Linked DNA regions of Cricetulus griseus. The protein of the gene in region 2 interacts with the protein of the main gene of each other region in a pairwise test. Links are inferred from orthologs where the notes say so. Each region holds a gene or a part of one and is shown on either strand. Other genes may lie near its edges.

The links. The genes of interacting proteins can lie anywhere in the genome.
Region 1: the proteins of Cdc42ep2 (region 2) and Arhgap26 interact in binary tests that used the Homo sapiens proteins (3 or more experiments, as listed by UniProt). The two-hybrid records come from large-scale screens. The link is inferred for Cricetulus griseus from reciprocal best matches to the Homo sapiens genes CDC42EP2 and ARHGAP26.

Annotation. Positions count from the first base shown.
Region 1 is NC_048595.1:198,518,621-198,526,635, reverse strand, and holds part of Arhgap26 (rho GTPase-activating protein 26), read left to right. Parts: intron 1-2,626; coding exon 2,627-2,731; intron 2,732-3,921; coding exon 3,922-4,051; intron 4,052-7,695; coding exon 7,696-7,796; intron 7,797-8,015. UniProt on the Homo sapiens protein: GTPase-activating protein for RHOA and CDC42. Facilitates mitochondrial quality control by promoting Parkin-mediated recruitment of autophagosomes to damaged mitochondria.
Region 2 is NC_048596.1:53,416,793-53,425,338, forward strand, and holds the start of Cdc42ep2 (cdc42 effector protein 2), read left to right. Parts: upstream 1-4,050; 5' UTR 4,051-4,169; intron 4,170-7,815; exon of another isoform or gene 7,816-7,921; intron 7,922-8,546. UniProt on the Homo sapiens protein: Probably involved in the organization of the actin cytoskeleton. May act downstream of CDC42 to induce actin filament assembly leading to cell shape changes. Induces pseudopodia formation in fibroblasts in a CDC42-dependent manner.

The DNA.
Region 1 (8,015 bases), on a different chromosome or scaffold from region 2:
GATAAAGCCAATATATACCCCCAGATGTTTTAATAATTGAATCATATAATGAAGGTAAAGAAGTAAAAGCATGCACTTATTTCTTGCTGTCCTTTTGTACAATGTAGTTTCAACAGTACTGGGCAGTAGAATCTCCCCAGGGCTCACTGAAATGCAGATTACAGGCCCTGTTCTTAGTGTCAGGATTGGGATAGAACAGGGCGAGTTCTTCAAAATTCCTGCTTTACAGAAAGTTTGTCCCAAACATTGCAGAAGAACCTTGGGTTACTGTCCAGGCAACCAGCTGTTTCTGTCATTTCACACATTTTTTTGGAAGTCTCTTGCTCGCACTTCCTGTTTACTCAGTTGATATTATTTTCTTCTTGATTCTGTGAGGCAGTTGAAGACTAGATAGTATAGTTATAATTTTCCTTGTTTACCAGACTCAGAAAAGAAACTCACTAAGGAAATGTAAAGTATAAAAGTTTGAGAGACATTAAAAGATAATTTGATAATGCGAATTAGAATAGAAAGTTAAATTAGGTACCAGACTTTGGACTCACCAAGCTAGGATAGATAACGGAGTATTTTCTCTTAATTTGTCAAATGCAAATGTACTAGACATTGTTTATATACTTTTTACCTGTATATATTATATATAGTTATTGTACATAGTTTTCTTAGGTTAGTTGTAGCCTTCCTTTTTGTATTAGACAAAAAGGGGAATTGTGGTGATATATTGTTTATGATTTAATAAAGTTTGCCTGGGGATCAGAGTGCAAAGCTAGCCACACTAGTTAACCATAGATGCCAGGCAGTGGTGGTACTCACCTTTAATCCCAGGACGCAGGAGACAGAGGCAGAGGGATCTCTGTGAGTCCAAGACTACCCTGGGCTACACGAGAGTGAATCAGTCTAAAAGAGTAAAAACTCACACTTTTAATCCCAGCACTAGAGAGGTATATAAGGAAGAAGCAAAGGTTCTCATGTGAGATTCATTTTCTAGTCACAGGGAAGACAGGGTCTCCATTTCAGCCTTGGCAGAGATAACAGCTACTGGCTGGATGCTTTTCTTTTCTGATCTTCAACTTGAACCTCCAAAATCTGTCTCTAGATTTTTATTACTTGTGCCACACCTGCCCCCCAAAGTCTGTCTTTGAGGTCCTAACCTGAAGTTTAGGTTTAATAAGTAGGTAAGAGGTATGGCTAAGTATTCCTGGTCAAGGTGCCATCCTGCCTATAACTGTTTCAGCTCTAGTCTGTCCTGCAAGGTGATTGGGTGGGTTGTCAAACTGTGAAATCTCTTCTCAAATAACATCTTTGTCCTCAGGCCAGCCCTAGGCTGCAGAGACACCCCTTCCTTCTCCTAGTGTGAGATCCCTGCAGGGGTACAAGTGACTCTTCTTAAAATATACTCATTCCTGCCATTTTGTTTACACCAGTACAAAGTCCTTTGATAGGCTGGGCTGGGCATGTGGTTTATCCTGTTGGTAGCATCCCTACTCTGGCGCTAATCATTTCCTGCCAGAAGCAGGTACAAACTACAGGGAGAAATCCCTTCACAGGCTCCAGTAGACCTGCCTCTCTGAAAAGTGGAGTGGGTGAATATAAGTACAGATGTGTTCGTGGAGGGGCTGAAAAGCTAACCACAGCAGCAGAAAGGAAAATAGATGCATTTCTGACTAACAGGTGGTGATGGGATCTGGAGGTTAGAGTGGACCACTTAGCAAACAACTGTGATCTCACAGAGTGAAGGTTCTTCCCAGATTTCTTCTATATTTTACCACAGCTCCTTTTTCATGTCAAAGCTGTGAATGCAGGCAATCTGGGGAGGTCTTGGCAAGTGGCTGGGATATTCATGTCAAAAATGTCAGCTTTGTAAAGAAGTACAATGGAATGTTGTTGGTGAGGTGTAGGGTAGTTGTTGAGAATCTGAGTTTTGGGATAAACTGTGGTGAGCAGGTGTTTTTATTTTTTTTCCCCATTTTGTGTAACAGAGACTAGATCATGAATACACTTACCTATTAGCCTTAGAGGATTTAAAGAGAGTCAAGGGACTTAGCACAATTGAAGCCAGGGAAGTGTGTGGTTGCTTGATAAAGGGATTTTTATTGTTTACTGTGGGAAAGTTGAAGAAAGCACAGAAGTGCCCCTTGGTGGAAGTCTATTCTGGGTGGCTTTCTGTGATTTGACTTCGCTGGTTAGATTACAGGTTCAGAGCTCGCCAGCTTCCTTAACACATTCTGAGTCATGTGACAACCTGATGTTATTAATGTTCAGCAGCTGAGGTGCAGCTTCAGCCAGTAGTTCTGAAAAGGTGATGTTCTTAGGCAATGGTAAGCATTGGTGCCAAGGAGAACAGGTTTCAAATCCTGGCTGTTAATCATCGTGAAGTAAGGGGCAAGTTACTTAGCCTCCAAAGGTGCCTCCTCCTTATTTAAGAGTGTCCTATTAGCACTTAAGTCATAGGTGATGTGATACAGGGCATGGAGGACACAGCATCCCACACACAGAGCTGCTCAGTGTATGTTAGTGTCATTACTACCTGTTCCATGCTTCCCAGACAGCGTTAGAAACCCAGATCCTGCTCCTTCTGTTCTCTTCTCAGTCGGCCTTTGTGACCTCTGCCCTTTTTCCCTCTTCACAGCTCCTGGCCTTCCTGCAAGGACTCTTCACTTTCTATCACCATGGTTATGAGCTGGCCAAGGACTTTGGTGACTTTAAGACACAGTTGACCATCAGCATACAAAATGTGAGTGGGGGCAGAGACCAGAGAGGGAAACAGGAGAGGGTGTGTTTGCTCCAGAGTTCCCCTCAAGCATTGGAATGAGGTGTGTGGGGTGGGTTCCTGGCTGGGTTCAGAGGAGGACAGCGGGAATCTGACATTTCTAGAATGTAAGATGGCCCAGGTCTGAGCACCATTTCTGTTCCTGGAAGTGTTGCTGCTGGTATTGTGTGTTTTTCACAGCAGCGTCAGAATTTCCCTTGACAGTGGAAATCCCAACTTAGCCCAGACTAGTTGCCTTCTGTGCAAGCAGCTGCCTGGTCACCTGAGGCCTTACATGAGTGTCCAGGGGTGAAAACTCAAATGGTATACTCTTGCCAGGCAAGACTGACAGGACATGTGAGTCAGTGCCATCCAAATGCTGCTGCCTCTGTTGCTTAAATCTGGAACCTTTGGGTGTGCAGAGTTGTTTAGGGTATTTGGGGCATAAGTCATAAGGCAAGCTCTCCTCTTACTTTGGAATTGGCCACAAGTCCCAAGGTACTCCTAGATCAGGCATTTCTGCATGGCTTGTCCTTCATGGCCTCAGAAGTTTGGAACTTACTTGGTGGTTCTTTGTTGACTTGGAGAACAGGAAGTTGAGGAATATGTCAGAAATGGTTTTAGAAAACATATATATATATATATATATATATATATATATATATATATATATGCCTCAGGGGTTCTGAGTGGGCCTGAATAGAAGCCAGGGGTTTCTGACTGCTCTGGGTGAGAGAATGACCTAGAAAGCCAGCAGCACCCCCCTTTTAGGAGGGTGCCACCTGTGAGCCATGAGCAAGCTACATTTCTTCCAACTGGAGTGGTGAGGACCATAATCCTAAAGGAGTGCAAGCAGTTACTCTAGTCTGTAACTCTTATTTAAGCACCCTCTCCTGGCCCAACAATCTCCACTCACTCTTGAGGAGTGAGGCTGGGTGTTCACATGCTTCCTGGATGATCTTGGTGGTTTCTTGAGTTTGATTCATTCAGATATGGGACTGTAAGGCAAATATGTACTTTTACAAGTGAATACTTGCCCATTTCCTAGACCACTGAATGCCCCTTATTTGCTTTTATATCTAAGGTTTCTGTTTAGGCTGATCTTATGAATTATTAAGAGATTTCATTTTTTTTTTCTGCATTTGATTGATTGAGCAAAACTCCTTTCATTCCAGACAAGAAACCGCTTCGAAGGAACCAGGTCTGAAGTGGAATCGCTGATGAAGAAGATGAAGGAAAACCCCCTTGAGCACAAGACCATCAGCCCCTACACCATGGAAGGGTACCTCTATGTGCAGGAGAAACGTAAGTGCTCGGACTGTCAGGGTGGGGGGCACTCACAGCCTTGGGCAGATGTTGTTTCTGGAGGTCCCTGCAGATCTGTGTCCACAGTCTTTTCACCTCCAAGTGCTTTGTTCTGTTTCCTTTGTGCTAGGGTTTTTCTTCAATGCTACATTTCCCTATGGCTCTGTAGGAGGTAGTTCCTTTCTTCTTAATGTCCCCTCCTTTTGAACCTTGATGTCTTAGTGTGCTTGTGCACTCCACCCCAACCACATGGGCATTGGGAAGGTCCTGCATACCACACCTTATTGAATGCCCTAGTATTTGGTGATTCTACTTTCAGTTGAGAGCAATCATGGCTTGGGCCCTTTTCCTTTGCTTCTCAACTTCTGCCATCCCAATACTTGGATTTTTATGGAAAGTCAAAAAATAGGTGAGAGTTAGGAAGAAGGCCCATCATCTCCTTGCAATGCATTCAAGGGAAGAAACACCAGGGGCTGCTACTTGAATGCAGTTTTTAGGGAGGACTCACAGTTCATACCATAAAGGCCTTGGAGAAGGCTTAGAGGATATGCCTTAGGGTAGCACCTCCAGGTGCTAGGAATAAGATAGTGAAAGCTTTCTCCTTTAATAGTTGTTCCATTAGCTGGCAGCCTGTCCCATCCTCCTCAGCAGGATCTTGCTAAGTAGTCTAGACTGACCTTGAACTCATGATCATCCTGAATTTTCCTTCTGAGTTCTAGAGTCGCACACCTGTATGCTGCCTTGCACACCTTTTGCCTCTATGCTTTCTTAGCAGGATGACTCCTGATTTGTGCTGGTTTTGTGTTCCTCTCTGTGGTCCTCTTTGGCAGTGACTTCACTCCTGCAAGCTCCTGGTAGAGCAGGAGAGAAACACTTTGTTTTAGTGGTTATGTACTTAGTGCTAATGCTCACATATAATTGCCTAGGCTTAAAAGTGTTCTCTTCTGACAGTAGGGACTGAAGTGGGGTTGGAATTATTGGCTGCGGTAAGGGTTTTATACCCCTATTCTTTGAGGAATGAGCTTGAGGGGGTTTATAGGAAGCAGAAGCCTCTTCATTTGTGTATTTCATTCCCTGAGTATGGAGGGATGCTCTCCTTGCCATGTGTGCGGATTCCCTCAGCCCATCCCACTGCCCATGGTTGGAGGTAACGTAGAGAAACAAACTCTCAGGAAAGTAAGGATAGATGTCACAGTGCCCCTGTAATACAAAGGCTGTTGTTATTCTTCACCTGTGTGTGGACTCATTTTTGCTCTCTCATACTCACATTATATTACACAGTTCCAATCAATCAAACATTTCACATGCTCTTGACATGAATATGTTGCTTTTTGTTACAACTACTTTTTGCTTTTCTAGCACACCACTTATGAGCATTTCCTTAGGATACAGTATAGTGTTGGAACTTACTATTTTTAATAATTTCAAGCTTACAAGGAAGTTGCAAGAATGCTATAAAGAAAACATGAATTGACCGGGCGTTGGTGGCGCATGCCTTTAATCCCAGCACTCAGGAGGCAGAGGCAGGTGGATTTCTCTGAGTTCGAGGTCAGCCTGGTCTCCAGAGCCAGTGCCAGGATAGGCTCCAATGCTACACAGAGAAACCCTGTCTCGAAAAACCAAAGAGAGAGAAGAGAGAGAGAGAGAGAGAGAGAGAGAGAGAGAGAGAGAGAGAGAGAGAGAGAGAGAGCATGAATTTACCCAGATCCACAGTTTCTCAATGCTTTACTCTAGTCACTCTTTCTTTTTTCTGTGTATGGCTGTGGATATGTGCACTACTCTCATGAACATTCATTCTCCTGAGCTGTTCTGTTCTAATGCCCACCAGTCCCCTATTGTCTTCATTTCCACCATTCAATCAAGAAATTGTATTGTCTCTTCACTGTATGGTCACTGTTTTCCGTTAACTAACTAGTGTTCTGAGGAAGTCACCTTATAATTATGTAAATAGCTTTCTGCTTGCTATGTTTCTGTCCATAGAGTTGTGACCTATTGATCCTTGCCTAGACTGATGGAGATTTCCCACTTTCATTACTTCTTTCTACCCACCCTTGTCTATCCATCTGCCCACTTGTCAGACCATTTGTCTGTCCCTGTCTTTCCATTGTCAATAAAACCTTAAGGTTAACATTTCACTCACAGGCTATAATCTATTACTTTATATACCTTGATGTCCTCATCGTCTAAGACAAAGCACTTGTGGAGTCCTTGTGTTGTGTAGTCACTGGAATGTTCCCCAGGCCCTGAGAATGTTTGGTACTTTTCAAATTGCCTTTAATGACTAATGTATTGCTGTGTGACATGTGCCTGTGTGACAGAGAGAGAGAGAGAGACAGAGAAAGGGGTGAGAGAGAATGCACATGTATATATGTGTGTGTGGTGTATATATGTGTGCCTGTACATGTGGTGGCCCGAAATTAACCTCAGGTGTTATTCCTTAGGTGATATTCACCTTGTTTTTTTTTGGAACAGGTTTCTCATTGGCCTGAAGTTCACTGAGTAGGTTAGGCAGACTAGACAACAAGCCCCAAGGCTCTGCCTGTCTTCCCCTCTCCACCTGTGCACCAATAAACCTGTTTTTAAAAATTAAATCTTAATTAATTAATTAATTAATTTTTATGTGGGTTTCGAGGGCCTGACTCAGGTCCTCGAGCTTATAGAGCTTTATTAACCAAGCTGTCTCTGTAGCCCCTGTGTTGCTTTTCAGATTATTAAATGATATCTATACTTATATTTGGCAATCATTCCAAACCATTAATAATCACTACGCAACCATTCTTTACATGGTATTGGTAATTGTGGCCATTTCTATTATGTGATCTCTGTAAACATCTAAAACTAATATTGATTGAAGTCCTTGCAGACTGATAATGTCTTCTTCCTCTAATATTTGATTGAAGTCCTTGCAGACTGATAATGTCTTCTTCCTCTAATAGCACTTTGTTGTTGAAAATAAAGTAATTGGCCAGGCACTGGGTATACAGCCAGAGACTTTTGGCATTGGTTCTGTGATGTCGCCCTCTTTCCTGGGGAGAATTTTGAGACAGACTCCTTAGATTGCATTTAGGCATTTAGTCACTTCCAGTCTGCATCTGTGGTGTCTCTGAGGTTTCCATGTCTCCTTCTCAGATCTTTTGGAATTCTGCTGAAGTAAAAATTAGGGGTTTGGAAATAGGTCAGAACCCCTGAGGTTAGTCACCGGGCAGCTGTGTGGGAGGCACAATGTCACTGCTCAGATAGAAATGTTGACTGACACTTGGAAGAGCCCTTCTATGCTCTTTCCTCAGTTACCTCAGTCAGGGGAGAGAGTGGAAACTTCAAATGGTGATTGATGATGGGCATGCAAATTTATTTTCCCAGGGAACTGATACCTCCCCTGTATTTGAAGACCCACTGGATGTAGCATTAGTGAGAGGTAGAGATCCTATATGTCTGGATGGGGAAAGCATTGTTTTGGTTTTACTTTCAGCCTGTGGGATCAGGTTTCTGTCTGTTTCAGCCTAGCTGTATAGGGAATACATTATCCCTTAAACAGTGTCAGCATTATGCCTGAGTACTTGAGCACTGTGGCCCATCTCTGTGTCATAGCGGTTAATGATACAGTGGACATGTGCAGATGGTTAATAGGCAACATTCCTTTACAGGTCACTTTGGAACTTCTTGGGTGAAGCACTACTGTACATACCAACGGGACTCCAAACAAATCACCATGGTTCCATTTGACCAAAAGTCAGGAGGAAAGGGGGTGAGTTCATTGTAACAATTTCTTGCTTGGTTTGCTTGGCTAACAGGTAACGGTCACGATACATGTCTAAGAGTGCAGTGTTTTACTGTAAAACTCTCTAATTCTGCAGGAATTCCCTGAGGCCCATTTCTCTGAGAACAGTTAGAATAATCATTGTTAGCACTATTAACTGTGATGAAGACCTTCTTACTTTACATGTATACACCATTAAATGTGTCA
Region 2 (8,546 bases):
GCAGAAAGAACCCAGGGGTCAGTCCATCCTGGGTGCAGACCAGGACATTGTCTTGCTCAGGATAACAGCAAGAGCCAAGGAGCCATCCAAGTGTCATGGACAGTCGGCACTGAACAATTTTCCCATCCAGGCAGGGTGGCTGGAAACAATTCCCATAGCACAGATGGCAGCTTCAATCTGTTCTGCTGTTCTCTACATACCCCTCCAGCCCCGCCCCGTCACCCCCCTACAGAGACTGCCCCACAGAGCCCCGGCTGCTTGCAGGCAGTGCAGTTCTGTGGAAGAGATTTCCCCCAACCCTCCACTCCTGTTAGTTCCTGCTCTGTTGCCAGCTCTGGTGCTGGAGGCTGGAACATCTCAGAACATCTGGACACCAGCTGGCATCTGGCGAGGGTCCTCATACTGTTTCATCCCCTGACAGGAAGCAGAAGAGAGAGCAAGTATTGGGGAGAGAAGGAGAAAGTGGGCTTGAATCCTTCAACCCTTCCATAGTTGGCACCAATCCTTTTGTGGGCTTAGAGCCCTCTGACCCAAATAGCCTCCAGAATGTGCCACCTCCCAACACTGTTGCTGTGGGGAGTAAATCGCCAACAAATGGCCTTTTGGGGTACATACTCAAAGTACAGCCCTCAACTCATATGACAGTGTGGCCCAGGTTCCTTTCCAGGACTGTCCTGTTTTCCTCTAAGCCACGCAGGTCAGTCCTGACCTGTCCAGGGGCACTGAGCAAGGAGTACAGCCAGCTGGAGATTAAATCCTGCCAGGTATGGTAGTACACACCTTCAAAGCCAGCACTAGGGAGGCAGAGGCAAGGAGGATCTCTCTGAGTTTGAGGCTAGCCTGGTCTATGTAGAGAGTTTCAAGCTAATCAGGGCCATATATTAAGAGGCTATCTCATCAGGCAGTGGTGTCAAACGCCAAGTCAAAGGCTGGAGGATCTGTGTGAGTTCAAGGCTAGTCTGGACTACAGGGCTAGTTCCAGGACAGCTAGAGCTGCTACACAGAGAACCTTGTCTCAGGAAAAAAAAAAAAAAAAAAGAAAAAGAAAAAGAAAAAAAGAAAGACACCGTCTCAAGAAACAGCAAAAAAAGTTAAAATTCTAAACCTTCCTTTTTACTCATTTCCCAATGATACTGGAACAAATTAACACAAGGTTGGTGGTTTAAAAGAATAAAAACTTGCCGGGCGTTGGTGGTGCATGCCTTTAATCCCAGCACTTGGGAGGCAGAGGCAGGCGGATCGCTTTGAGTTCGAGGCCAGCCTGGTCTCCAGAGCGAGTGCCAGGACAGCCTCCAAACCAATGCAGAGAAACCCTGTCTTGAAAAACCAAAATAAATGAATGAATAAATAAATAAATAAATAAATAAATAAATACTGGGCTGCTCAAGCCATCTGGTCATGGTTCCTGGCAATTCACAAACCTATAAACACCCAGGAGGCCACCTATACACATCCCCACACAGGGGCAGACATATACACATAATTTAAAAATCACACAAATTCATTACCATGTTGTGTGGTTAGAAGCCCTGTGATGTTAAAGTCAAGGAATTAGCACAGATGTTCTGGAAGCTTCAGGAGAGTCTGTTTGCTCTTGTCCTCTCCAGCTATTGGGGCGTTCAGAGTTCCTTGGCTTGTGGCCTTCCTTTCACCTCTAAGAATAGCACCATAGTATCTTTCTGGCTTGCCCTTTCCTTCCTTTCATTTTAAAAAAAGAATTATTTATTGATATGTGTAGAGGTGGGAATGGGTTCTTTCCTTCCACCCAGGTCATCAGGCTTAGGGATAATGCACTTTAGTTCATGAGTGCTTAGGTAGCATATGTAAGGCCCTGGGTTCTGTCCTCAGCACTGCATAGACAGGACAGATCTGTGGGATCTGTGATCCCATCACTTAGAAGGTGGAAGCAGGAGGATCAGAAGCTGAACTATTTCATTGTTACCTGCCCCTCCCCCCCCACATTTTTCTTGTATTTGACACAGGGTCTCACTATGCAGCCCAGGCTGGCGTGTAATTCACTGTAGACCAGGCTGCTCTTAAACTCTGCCTCTGCTTCCCCCGCTCTCTAGCACTGAGATGGCAGGCATGTGCTGCTAGGCCTAGCTTGTGGACCTTCTTTCATTCTTTTGTCTTTTCTATTTTTAAGGGCCCTTGCAATTAAACTTGTCCCATTGAGGACAATCTTTATTTCTTTAATAATTGACAGCAGAGCTGAGCAGTGGTGGCTCACTCCTTTGGCCCCAGCACTCAGGAGACAGAGGCAGGTGGATCTCTGTGAGTTTGACACAGGCTTGCTCTACATAGTGAGCTCCATGCTAGCCAGAGACACATAGTGAGACTCTGACTCAAAAAATAAATTACACTGATTTTTGTGGACGTGGTGGGCATGCATGTCTGCTGAAGCTGGACATGGAGGTCAGAAAACAACATTTAAAAGTTAGTTCTCTCCTTCTGCTATGAATGCCCCAGAAATCAAACTCAGGTTGTAAGGCATGACAGCAAGCACCCTTAGCTACCGAGTCCTAACTCATAATGATCCTCTTTTATTTTTGGACTTGAATTAACTTTATGGCTGGGGAGAATAACCTTGAATTCCTGATGTTCCTGCTTCCACCTTCTGAGTGCTGGGATCACAGACTTGTACCATCCATCCTGTCTATGCAGTGCTGAGGAAGGAACCCAGGGCCTCATACATGCTACTTAAAACACTCTATGAACTAAATAAAGTATATGCCTAGCCCAGGATAATCTCTGTTCTAATGTCAATTGAGCAGGGCGTGGTGATTTACATATATAGTCCCCACTCTTTGGGAGATTGAGGATGGAGGACTGCTTGAGCCCAGGAGTTCTGCTTATCATAGTTCCCCGGGTAATTGAAATTCTCCCTTCCCACATAACAAGCGGTCATAGGTTCCAGAGGTTACAATGTGGAGATCTTGATCTAGGTGTGTGTGTGTACGTGTACACACATACATATGCATACATGCAAGTGTGGCTGGGGATTAGACAGAGGGATTAACATACGGGGAAACTCAGGGAGCTCCTCAGAACTGTATTTCCTAGCCCAGAACATGGACATCTTTAGGGAAGCGTGACTCATAGTCCTTCCCATTCTCCCCTCCCCCCTGGCTTAGCTGACACATTCCCCCACCCCAGCATCCTTCCCTCACATACACACCCCCTTTCTCCGTTTGCTATCTGGAAGCCAAGCATTCTGGCTCCTTTCTTCCCAGAACTGTCCACCTTTTCTTTTACCTCACTCCTTTTTTTAGCACTTATCCACCTGAAAGGGTATCATCTTGTGCCTGGGACCTTGACTTTCTTGAGTCCCGACCCCTCCCTAACCACAAGTAGACATTCAACAAATTACTCCACTTACTTACAAAAACGGAGCAATGACAAGTTCCCCTCGGTCTACCTCAGCAACTTTAGGACCTGCCCTTTAATAACTGTTTCTGATCCCGTGTCCCTGTATGAATGAACGAATCTCTGTACTAGCTCAAGCCCACCTGATAATCACCTAGCAGGACAGCAAACACAGGCATGCCCAGTCTCTCTAGGTCTTTCTCGGTCTGTCTCGGTGTTTCTGTTTTTCTCTGCGCCGCCCTCTCCCCGAACTTTCTCTCTCCCTCTTTCCATCACTCTGTCTCTCCTAGTTTAGAGCAAACTCTTAAAAGTGTTCCTAAGTTTGTAAGACACTTGCAAAGCCCAATTCATTCCCGTAGAGTCACAGAATACACTAGTGCGGACGCCTCCCGGGTCTCAAGAGTCCTTCCGACAAGGAAACCCATCCAAGGACGCTCAAGAGATTTCTCAAGAATTCGCTCTTCCGGCCTTTGCTGGCCCAGCGCTTCTTCTAGCCTAAAGTTTTAACTCCAACATGCACAGCTGGAGTCCTCAAATCCACCACTGCTACTCTTGGCGAGTGCCCTGAGCTGCTGAAGGCTGAGGCTCTGGAATCTTGCAGCGGAGTCTGCAGAACTGAGAACCTGGGCGGTGCCGCGGTGGGAGGAGATGTGTGGGAGGGGACTGGAGAGGAGCGGCCCGGGATTGGCCTCGGGCGCTGGGGGTGGGGCTTAAGGCCCGAGGTCCGCGCTGTAAGTTCCCAGGTCCTCCCTGGCGCTCTACCCCAGCCGCGCAGCTCTGCAGCCTTGCCCGCGCTCCTCAAGGTGAGTTTGGGCTGAGGTTTTTCAGGCCTCTGGTGGCTTCTTGTAGAGTCCCATCCAGGGTGGCGCTCGGTCCCGGCCCAGACCAGAGACCCCTTAGCAGGCGCCGGGGTCCCCGCCCCGGTACCCATGACCTCCCACAGCGCCCAGGGCGCTGTGCTGTCAGTTTCGTAGCTCCGGGCTGCATACAGTGTTCTCTGCTGAAACTCCGGGACCAGGGAGCATCTTCTCCTTGGCCCGCGTCCCCGCCTGGGCTGGAGGCCGTATTTTTAGCGAATGGTGAGGTGTCCTCCTATCTTTAGCTGCAGTGTTACTGAAACGGATCCGGGCCGCGCTGGGCAGCTCTTGGCTGGGGAACTGGAGGGGTCCGCGCGGGAACACGAGTCAGGGCTGAGCAGCCGGACTCGGCGGGAGGGCGGGGGCCTGTACGTCCGAAACCTGGCGGTGCGCCAAACAGACACTGAGACCTCGCCCAGGCCGGGAAGCTCAGACAAGGCTCCTCCCAGAGCTTGGGGACCCGGACAAGGTCCCCGATCCTCGCAATTCAGCCCTCACCGTGGTCTGATTGTGCAACCCAGAGAAAAAGGCCCTGTGGGTGATACACCTCGGGAACTTGAGCGCGCAGCTCCTCGGTGGGCGTCTGCCTGGAGCCGGTGTGCTCGGTGGGACCCTAAAACGCTGGGTGATAGCGGGGGCGCTCGCGCCACCTAGCGACCACGGATCCTAGCGCTTCTCTGCACTGGGACCCAGGGAGGTGGTCTGCTGCAGGAGAACCAGATTCTGAGATGGCCCTGGAGGAGACCAAGAGGAGGTGGCCAAGAGGAGACCCATACCTGGGGACTAAGAAGGGTTCAATTTTCGTTTTTCTTGCAACCAAGGAGAGCTGAAGGGTTTGAGAAAGCCCCTGCAGATATTTGCTAAATATCCTTTGATAGTGGCTGTCCACATACACATCTATTTATACAGAGCCTCTTGTTTCCAGTATCGCAATGGGTCAGCCCATTTTAAAGATGGGGACGGTGAGCCCAGTTCCAGAGAGGAAAGGTGCATTAGAGTCCCAGGTGGAACTAGATTCCAAACCATTCCTTTTGGACTGGCAAGATGTCTCAACAGAAGTCGCTTGCTGAGCAAGCTTGGAGATGAGTTCTATCCCCAAAACCTGTAACGATGCAAGGAAATAACCGGCTCCCCAAAGTTGCCCTCTGACCTCCACACGCATGCCATAGTACATACTAGCTTGTGCATGAGCGTGTGTGCTCGTGCACACGCGCGTGTACACACACACACACACACACACACACACACACACACACACACACACCATGCATACTCACACAATAACAATAAATAAAACTTTTTAAATTTTTGTTTGCTTGTTTTTTAGAGGCAGTTTTTTTAGTTCTTAGAGGAAGGCAGATTTCTAAGTTCTACTGTCCTGTTCTACAGAGTGACTATCAGCCAGGACTGTCAGGACAACTGGTTACATGGAGAAATCCTGTCGAAAAAACAAACAAAAACCCCTTTTTAGTAAGCATTTAAGAGAAAGGGCAAAAATCACACCTAGAGCTGGGCATGGTAGCATACCTTTCTTTTCTTTTCTTTTTTCTTTTTTTTTTTTTTTTTTTTTTTTGAGACTTGGATGTTCAACAGGGACTCACTATGTAGCCCTGGCTGTCCTGGAACTCACTATGCAAACCAAGCTGGTCTGCATGGATCTACCTGTCCCTGCCTCTGCCTCCCAAGTGCTAAGATTAAAGACATTATCCTGCCAGGCCAGGTGGCACACTTTTATTTTTGGTTTTTTGAGATAGGGTTTCTCTGTGTAGCAGCCTTGGCTGTCCTGGAACTCACTTTGTACACCAGGCTGGCCTTGAACTCACAGAGATTTGCCTGCCTCTGCCTTGCTAGCACTGGGATTAAAGGTGTGCGCCACCACTGCCCAGCTTCAGGTGGTACACTTTTAATTCCAGTACTTGGGAGATGGAAGTAGGCAGATGTCTGTGAGTTTAAGGCCAACCTGGTCTACATAGTGAGATCCTGTGACAAAAGATAAAAAGCCATTAGTTTTGAAGTATGTATGGAAGGAGGGGAATTTCCATGAACATCCAGAGTGAGCAGGGCTAAATATTCTCCATGACCAGAAGGGATCTGCCTCCAGGAAGTCATTTTCTCTGAGGGAGGCTCAGTATTGCTGTCCAGGGCAACCCACAGAGCTGGGATGGCCTCCATCTGCTCCTCCCCATTGCTGGAGGAAGCTCCTCCTGGCAGCCTTGATCTAATCAGAGCTCATTCTTGTAGCTCTGAACACTTGCAAGTTGGGGAAGTGGCAGCCAAGGGATGTGACTACATAGAGGAAGCCTGGAGACTTGCTAATGCCTCTTCTGTTTCCCATCCATAGCACCATGGTATGGTCCACTGCCTGGAAGCCACGTGGCTAGCCTTGGTACCAGGTGCCTTTTCTTACTAGCTGGATGACCCTGATGAAGCTCCTTAATATCTCTGAGGTTACACTCTGGTGGCTATTTAGGACAGTAATGGCACCCACCCCAACGTGGCTTAGAGAGTTAATGTGTAAGGAACCCCCATGGCAGGCTGGAGCCTCTGATCTGTGGTTTCTAGATCTTCTATTTAGGATTGCTGGTTGTTATTCCCAGCTTTCTCCTGGGTGGTTGATACTGGCCCCACCCTTCCTTTTAGCCTCTGTTCTCCTCACATCTGGATTTGGGTGGGTACATCTGGCTCAGAGTGAGACAGCTGTCAGGGACGCCCAATTTGCTGTGGAAACACCCAAGCTGTCTTGGAGCTCTAGTGTGATGGAGTGAGGATGGGGGAAGGACCTGGCCCGGGCTATAGGCAGATCTCACCAATCATCCCAGCTCTCTCTCACAGCATAAATCAGTGATGGGATTGTAAGATTTAGGGTGCATTTTTTTTTCCCACAGCTCCGCTAGAATTAGCTGGAATCATTCCTTTGTTTCCTGTTGGCTACAGGTGCTCTGGAGGCTAGGGATGTCCAGCCTCCATGGTTCACCATGACTGGCCTAGGGTGTCCGGCCTTGGGGTGGGGTTTCCTGAACAAGGGCCTGTGTGGGATGGTGTCACTTAGGACTGTGCCCTGCCTGCATCCTTCTGCCTCCTTCCTGCCCTTCCTGATTACCCTTAGCCTACCCAGGATGGAGACTGAGGCAGAGGAAATGGGGGATGTCTCATTTACTCAGGTATGGGCTAGTCTAGAGGAGGCTTCATGTAGGAAAATGGGCTCATCTGGCTTCAACGCTGGCCCTGCCCCTGGCTGTGATCTGAGCTTGGATAAGTTTCCTTGCCTTTTGTACTGGGTTCTGAACATGGAGTCAGCTGAGATTGTAGGGGGCCAGCCAGGCCCTCCACACACCAACCCCCACCAAGGGACTGGAGGGTATATGGGCTCCACTTCTGCTTCCTTCTTCGTTGAACCAGCATGACCCCCATTCACAGGGTATTTTTTCCACCTTAAAAACAGTTTTGCTTTTTTTCCCCTGACTACATAAACAATACATGCTTATTAAGAAACTGATAGCTGGAGTGTAGTTTTTTGGATTTTTATTTATTTGTTTTGTGTTTTTAGACAGCACCTCAAAAAAGAAAACTACATTTATATAAAACTGAACAAGTGCTCACTGTAACAGCACATACATTAAATCAGAACAATACAGAGATGGTTAGTGTAGGTCCTGTGCAAGGATGACACTCAAATTTGTGAATCATCCATTATATTATTATTATTATTATTATTATTATTAGTTCTTTGAGACAGGGTTTCTCTGTGTAGACCTGGCCATCCTGGAATTGTCTCTGTAGAACAACTCAGAGATTCACCTGCCTCTGCCTCCCTAGTGCTGAGATTAAGTCGTATGCCACCACTGCCCGGCCTGCCCTGCTTTTTTTTTTTTTTAATTTCTTATTTTATGTGTATAAGTGTTTTGCCTATATATGTTTGCATGTTCCTTTATGCATGATACCTGCGGAAGCCGGAAGAGAGCATCAGATCCATGGTTACTTGTGGTTGTGAGCTGCCATGTGGGTGCTGGAAGAACAGTAAATGTTCTTAACCACTACGCCATCTCTTCAGTGTCTTCCACCGTATCCTTTTATTTTTTTAAGAATCTGGGCATAGTGGCATTCACCCTCAATTCCAGCACCCAGAAGACAGATATAGACAAATCTCTGAGTCCCAGGCCAGTCAAGGTGAGACTCAGTCCCCCCTCAAAAATGTCTAAACAAGAGAGAAGTCAGCCTGAAATTATAACATCACCAGCATTTAGGCCAACACCCTGTCACACACACGTATATTATAGATCACCTGCTGGGAACACCTTTCCTTCCAAACCAGTGACCACACAC